2 linked regions of the Saccharomyces cerevisiae S288C genome follow. The gene in region 2 interacts genetically with the main gene of each other region. Each region holds a gene or a part of one and is shown on either strand. Other genes may lie near its edges.

Region 1 (3,757 bases), on a different chromosome or scaffold from region 2:
CGTCGAAGTCAAATATACGCAGGTTTTGTGCTTTTACGTAAGTGTCGGTATCACAACGTTTGGTTTCGTCAAAATAGCTTGATAATAGACATTGTAGAGGTACCAATCTTTCGCAAGGGTGATACTTCAGAGTTTTTGTTAACAAGTCAAGAGTATCGGGATCTTCGGCTTTGAATATTTCAGCCAAAGTAATGGGCTTGATATTGGGGAAAACATGGTCTTCATAATTTGGGTTCATTCCTGAAATTTCATCCTTTGTGGGTATGCCCATTATCTTAATAATTTCCACCAACTGATCTATACCGCTTTCACCAGAGAACAAGGGCTTGCCCAAAAGCAACTCAGCAATGACACAAGCGCTTGACCACACGTCGACCTGGTTTGAGTAATTAGTGGCACCAAACATGAGTTCGGGAGCCCTATAGTACCTTGAACAGATGTAAGACACATTAGGCTGATCCGGTTTCAAGCATTTGGCACTGCCAAAATCGCAAATCTTGAAAGAAAAAGTTGTCGGATCCACCAGTAGGTTTTGCGGTTTTATATCTCTGTGACAGATTCGAGGAACGTTATGCAAATAGTTTAAAGCTTTGAATAGTTGGTATGCATAGAATTTAATTTCAACACGCGGCATCTGCATTTTCAAATTAACAAAATGACGAAGCCTTTGGTATAACGACTGAGGCATGTAGTCCAAAACCAGATTGAGGTATACTTCATCTTCTTCGTCCTTTTCGTAAAAGTAGTACTGTAGACCCACAGTATTTGGATGGCACAACATCTTCATAGTTTCGAGCTCCCTATTTTTATATCTTCTATCTTGTAGTACTTTCTTTATGGCAACTTTTTGATTGGTCTCAATTATTACAGTCGTGACTACAACACCAAATGAACCATGGCCAACCACTTCTGTCGTAGGATAACTGATGTCGATAGTTCCTCCATGATTTTTTCGGTCGACATCAGTTTTGCGGTCATGTTTATAAACCCGTTTATGAACTAAACCTATGTTAGTATATAATGTGATTCCCATAAAAAATGGTAGTTGATGTAATATGGAAAAATGTTCCGCTATGCTTCCTGATATTTCGTAAGCAAGTTTCTAAGATTAGGGATGCAATTTCATAAATCTTTATTTTACACTCTCTTTTTTTTTCTTTTAATTATTTTTTTTTGTGTCGCGATACTATGAACTGACAGTAGTTCCACTATTCACTCCGGTTGTGACGAAAGAAACATTCCTCCACTGGCAAGAACATAAAAAAAAAAAATAAAAAATAATTATACATACTAGTCCTTTCCTTGGTTTTAATATACCTATAATCAAAATTAATCATTTTCTCAACCTTCTCTTTACTAAGCTTGCTACTAATATTTTCGTGCTTATTGGCAACTTTTCCATCTGTTTTACTGTCCGAGATATTGGCGTGTTCAATGTGATCAACTGCAATACCCTCCTTTCCCCCGTCTATCAGTTTAGATATTATAAGATTCTCTATGTCGTTGATGTACTCTGAACTGTTATTGAAATTAGGTACAGTATGGTGAACTTGAACGTCGCTTACCTTTTTGATTGTATCAGGCTTTCTCTTCTTCTTTTCTAGGGCAGTATTACTCTGTATAGATGTCTTGTGTTTTAGCTGAAGGTTATCTGAGTTATTGAAGGAAATCTTTCGCACTAGGCTTCTCAACACATCGGTCATAGTAGACTATTTTACAATTTTCACCTCTTCAATCTTGAGATTATTTTCAAGTCCCTTCCCCGCAGTATGGTAGAAACGGAAATACTTGTATGCAGCAGGGTTCTTATAGCACCAGTATTTTTTAGAGAATGCTTATTTAAGTTGCAAGATATAGCGACAAAAGGAGAACCAATCTTTCTCAGATCCGCCGCTGGAACAGCTCTCCGGTAGATCCTAACGGATAATGCTGCCCCTGGTTAGTTCCTCATCGGACGACTTTGCTCCCAGGGGCGGCCTTTGTCTTTCTCTTTTGCAGAATCAACTCTATTTTCCCCACCCCCCCGCTTTTTTTTTTTCATGTTCCTTTACCAATCTTTGAAAAATCACGAGATGGTGCATATTTGACAAGGAACGCTTAAAACATCGTGGAGTGAGTGTGGTAAAGGTAAACTGGTCATAGCGGAATTGGTCATAGCGGCGTAGTGCAGCGCAGCCACTAGGAGGATATGGTTTCCTTTCCTTCAATTTACTTGAGTATAAAATATCATAGTAAGCGAAACATTATACAACGATATGAGTCAAGATACAAAGGAGTATAGAGTTAAGAAAAATATAAAAATTGAAGTAGCTCATAGCTTGGAAGAGTCTAGGATGAAACTCTTGCCTTTTTCAATATTCTTGCGTAGCTCTTTGACCGCAGTATTAACGAGTTGTTCCTCTCTCGGAGACAGTTTTTCCAGAACACTGGTATCGATGGATACTACGCTACCATTTCTCAAAACAATTGGCAAGGAAAAATACTCAATAGAGTTGTCGCCAACTAATTGCTGCGCTTTCTTACCGTTTTTTAAGCCTGGTAAATAAACGAATGCGGAAAGTGACTCCGTTTCTGGTTTCTCATTATGGAAGCTCCTCAAAACTTCTTCAGCAAACTTGGCCCCCGCGAACGCCATGGACAACGTGGCGGAACCGGCGCCCTGTTTAGCTTTGACAATTTCATCACCTCCGAACTGGACCCTATGAATGAAGTGCTCGTACTGCTTATCAAGTTGAAATACCAGCGATTTGTCGGTGATTATTGGGATAATGGTTTCCCCTGAATGACCCCCAATAACAGTGACCTTTCTGTGCATTGTAGTTTTGTCTTGTTCTTGTCCAATTTTGGGGTTTTTTAGCATCAAATAATCTACCAAAAAGGTTTCTGCACGTACCAGGTCAAGGTTCGTCACACCCATAACGTTTCCAGGTTTGAACTTACCCATTTTCTTCAAAGTTTCCACAGCAATAGGGACCAAACTGTTTACAGGGTTTGAAATGACTAAAATCCTCGCATTTGGTGCGAACTTTCCAACAGCGGTTACCAGGCTTTTGACAATACCGGCGTTCATCTTGAACAAATCATCTCTAGTTAAACCGGGCTTTCTGGGAACACCAGCCGGTATTAGCACCACCTGAGCATTTGACAAGGTGTTCTCAATACTATCCTTATCATAACCGACACAACTTGAGTTGGTGTTGATGTGAGATAAATCCTTACCAATGCCTTCCGCAGCTCGGATATCGTACAACGCCAGCTCGGAAACGTAAGGGCTTAATTTTAGCAGTAATGATAGCGGTTGTCCCACGCCACCAGAAGCGCCAAGAATTGCGACTTTGACCATGTTTATGATTGTTTGTCTCTTTTTATTTTCTTTTGCACTGACAAGTGTTTTCCCTTGATTTACGAAGGCCTTGATTGTTTTATGCTTGAATTCAAACCCAGCAATTCTTCCTTTTTCCCTTAGTCTTTTATAGGCCGGCGAAATTTATGATGGGCAGTAAAACTCCAATAGTAACGAACCGAAGGGGTTCAAAAGTTGTCAACTCGTGGAAATTCACACGTAAGAAGGATACAGAAAATCTTGAGTAATAGACCATGCCAAGCATGTCCACTAGTCATAACGGCATTGCTCGTCATACGATAGGGTATTGAACACCTTTCGGCCGGACCGGCGTTAACTCCGGCCATATAAATGTGGTAAAAAAGGGTACTGCGCTAATGGCCTACAAGTGTTCAAAACCTCTTCTATATAATA
Region 2 (3,757 bases):
CAAGAAGAACCACATCAGCGGATTATAAATGCGCCCTGATGAGAAAAGATACTTTGGCAAAGACCAGATAATGGAAGCATTGAAAACCGTGCGACCATTAGCACAAGTGAAGCCATTTGGTTGATCGGTGGTACATAAGCCATCGATATTATGCATCATCCATTCCTGGACACCAACGTTAACCATGCCTGATATGATAGTGGCATAGATTTGAACGGCAAAGATCAAACGAGGGGAAACCTTCATGTACATGGCTAATTTCAAATCTCTACTCAAATTCAAGCCTTGTCTCATGACAATAAATCCGTATAGCTTGAATAATAAGTTTGCCATTGGTCTTAAAGGCAGCATATAACCGCAGATCAATTCTGTGATAATATTCAAACCTACGTGTTGGTTAGTCATTGCTTCCAAGATACCTTGCGGGATGAAATTTACAAGGGAAATTAATATTGCAATAACAAATGCCCAAGCTGGGAACTTAGTATCGAAACAGCACACTGCTACAAATCCTAAACCGATCATGACAATCTGCAAAAGTAAATACCACCAATCGGGACAATCCTTATAGTTCTTGGAGTAGATTCTCATGTGAATGTCAGTGCCACCATTTTTACGGTCTTTAAACTTGGCGACAATATCTTTACCGTGGTATAAGATGCAGTGGACAAAAACGGCGATAACAGCGGCAAAATTTAAAGCATACGACAAAAGATAGGAAAATGGAACGAATACCGGTGAGTATTCCTTATATTTCTCAAGATTAATGGAATAATCCTCGTTAAGAATCTTTGTTACGTTGTATTTGTTTTGAGTGTTGTCATAAGTAGAACCTGAAATGACGGGCATGTATTTGGCATACCAGGTATTCGTAAAATAAAGACATGGCAGCACTATGACGAAGAATATCAACACTGATGCATAGGTGTTGGCGGAGACGTAGAATGGTGTGGCGAAAACAGAGCCGGACATGGCTTGGGAAACCTGGGTGTAGTCAAATGTAATTGGCAACGCACCGAGACCACTTTGAGTACCAAAGATTGTGTTAGCGATGAAATTGTGTCTTGTCTTCGACCCCCATAGGATAACGTTGAAATAGGACAGACCGGTAAAGAGGAATCCAGGTACCCAATACCAGATGAACGATCCGATAAGGACGATTAAGAAGAACCTGTAACGGGGCATCGTCCAACCATTTGCGACTGTCTTTTCAACTTTTCTCGAGTGCAACGAATCAAACAAGGACACTGAAATTAAAGTCTGAGGCCAGATAGAGCTTGCAGGGTTGACGACCCATCTTCTGGTAAGACCTGCAGCACCATAACCAATCATTTGAGATGTCCAAACCAACAAGAACTGATATCCGACATTAAGTTTCATGTTGTAAAAGCTTCCCTGGGCGTTCAAAATGTACATAGCGTATGCAGTAGAGGAAGTAAGCGCCACGGCAATTGTGACCACGGCGTGTTCCTTTTTGGTAAATGGGCCCGGGTTTAAATCGAAAAATGGCACTTTAGAACACTTCCAGTCGGGCAAGAGAGCCAGTATCCTACCAATTGGGTAGCAAACAACTTGTGCAACAAGGAAGTTGATCTCTAGCGATGGATATCTCAGGGAAAAAAATTGATTAACACCGGCGAAAACTACCACAAACACCGTGGTCAAGAACCACGTTCTCCAGTGGTTGAGGCGGATGGTGGGGTCATCCTCGATGGACACCGCCGATCTCACTTCAGGATATGGAGAATTGGGCAAGTATGTAGGGTCGCCCTTCCAAACGAGACCTTCCTCCTGTATGGAATGCCTGTCGAATTTTTGGCTTTCCGGATCGCGGTCCTCCTCATCAGTAGTCGCAGTGAGATTATTGACGTCCTCGTCAATATTCTTAACGAAAGCATCTTTCTTTTCCTCTTCCATATTGATCTGGATAGGAATGGTTGTTGGCGTTGGCGAGGGCTCCGACTCCAACGAGTCGCTCTCCCTATAAATGGTACTCATGTGTTCTGTGACGTTATATAATTGTTGCGGTTATTTTCTGCCACACAGTCGAAAACTTTTTACCAAGAATACACAGCTTCCGATGATTGTCCATATATAGTCGAAACAATTCATTGAATAGCCCAAAATTTGAAAAAAAAAGAAAAATGATGGGCACCCCATGATGATAAGAGCTCTCTTTCTTCAACAACGATTGCTAAGGCGTTTACAGACCCATCGACTGCCCTTGCAGTGGGTTTGATGTGATTAACAGGCAGCAGCAACAAGCAACTGCTGAAAACCTTGGTGCCTTGCAGACGGCTATTGTCCTGGATTTTGTGTGACAAAACGTAGATGTGGCGTCTTGTAGTCGGAGGTGTGGCGGGCCGGAAAAATAGTGGAAAAAAAGAAAATTAATGCGATAGCGACGGGCAGGTAGGGAGGTTTGAGGGGTCCGTAGTATGCGTCTATCGTTGCAACAAGGGTGACTAATGCCATGTCTTGGCCTTTGATGCAACGTCTCGGAAGTTAGTATCGATCCGAGGAGTGGAACGGATGCGATTTCCCCTCCATTCTATCGATAAGGTTGCTGGGAAACGCATTATAAGGGATGAGTGAAGACGGAGGGAAAGCATAACGAGGAGAGATTGCCGAGATAACTGAGAAGACGTAATCTAAAGGCAACGCAGCATGTCTCGAGTTGCACAGCTCGACTCGATAGCGCTTGATAAAGAATTGTATGGACAGTTTTGGTCCGAGTTCAATGCAGCATTCAATACGAGTGAACACAAAGAGGAATGGGAGTTGGCACTGAACACAGTTGTGTTTATGTGCGCGACGAGGTTCCTGCCACACTATGGCTCTAGCTGTACGTATGGATCCGCACTCAGTGGCGTGGTTTTTCAGTGCAGGAAACGCACCTTGTATGTCGTCACTGTCTTGGCAGGGTACGTGTGGAAGAAGATCACACATATTATTTTTAATGGGCCGCACTGTGGGAACCAGATGATGTGGCTGAAGCTGTACAAATGGGTTAATTTATTGTATCACGGCTGTGATGTAACCAACTTCCTGAGGTTTCTAGCAGCGGAAGGGCCCAATGCGAGGGCGTTTTTGTCGCCGTTATACCGGGCTTTTAATGTCCATTCCACAAGGTTGATTCGGGATGGTTCTGCAATTGCCTCTGAATTTTATTCGAACTCTGTATTCGCTGGGTTAGAATACCAGAATAGACAATTGCTATGGAATGCACTATTAGAACTCTTTTCCAATACACTACTTACGAAAAGAGGACTCTTGACCTTTGTTAAAAAACCACCAAGGTCTCGTTCTACGACTACTTATAAGACAGTTTGCCCCCGTTGCGGCGGTTTTCCAACCAACCCATACCAGATCGCTTGTTGTCGTGCGAACTACTGTTACGTGTGCGTTGTAAAGGCGTTGGAGTGGTCTATGTGCGATGCCTGTGGATCCTCTGGGAGACTGACCGCCTCACCAGTGTACTAAAGGGCCCCGTTCCCTCGCTTGTATCTCTATATATGTGTATACTATATTCATATTCATGTTGTCAAAATCGGTCACGTGGTAAAGGGTCTGGTTTTTTTTTTTTCACTTTCTGCTCAAGAAAAAAAAGAAACAATAAAGAAGTGGTATAATATCATCATGGAACGCTGTACGGGACGATGTGGGAAGCGACGTCTGAAATCCAGTAATAATAAACAGTGAGCACTTTAGGATAGCAGTAGTTTGCATTTTGCACGTTTCCCTTTCCATGCAATGT

Evidence for each region.
Region 1: of OPT1 (region 2) and MRK1, extra expression of one rescues a mutant of the other (dosage rescue), as found in Saccharomyces cerevisiae (one study listed by BioGRID).

What each region holds. Positions count from the first base shown.
Region 1 is NC_001136.10:313,046-316,802, forward strand, and holds the start of MRK1 (putative serine/threonine protein kinase MRK1), read right to left. Parts: upstream 1,704-3,757; coding exon 1,292-1,703; intron 1,000-1,291; coding exon 1-999. Other genes in the region: malate dehydrogenase MDH3, read right to left, coding at 2,312-3,343.
Region 2 is NC_001142.9:34,252-38,008, forward strand, and holds the start of OPT1 (oligopeptide transporter OPT1), read right to left. Parts: upstream 1,999-3,757; coding exon 1-1,998. Other genes in the region: PEX2 (ubiquitin-protein ligase peroxin 2), read left to right, coding at 2,668-3,483; CBP1 (Cbp1p), read left to right, coding at 3,754-3,757. UniProt on the Saccharomyces cerevisiae protein: High affinity transporter for glutathione. Also transports tetra- and pentapeptides like the opioids leucine enkephalin (Tyr-Gly-Gly-Phe-Leu) and methionine enkephalin (Tyr-Gly-Gly_Phe-Met) across the cell membrane.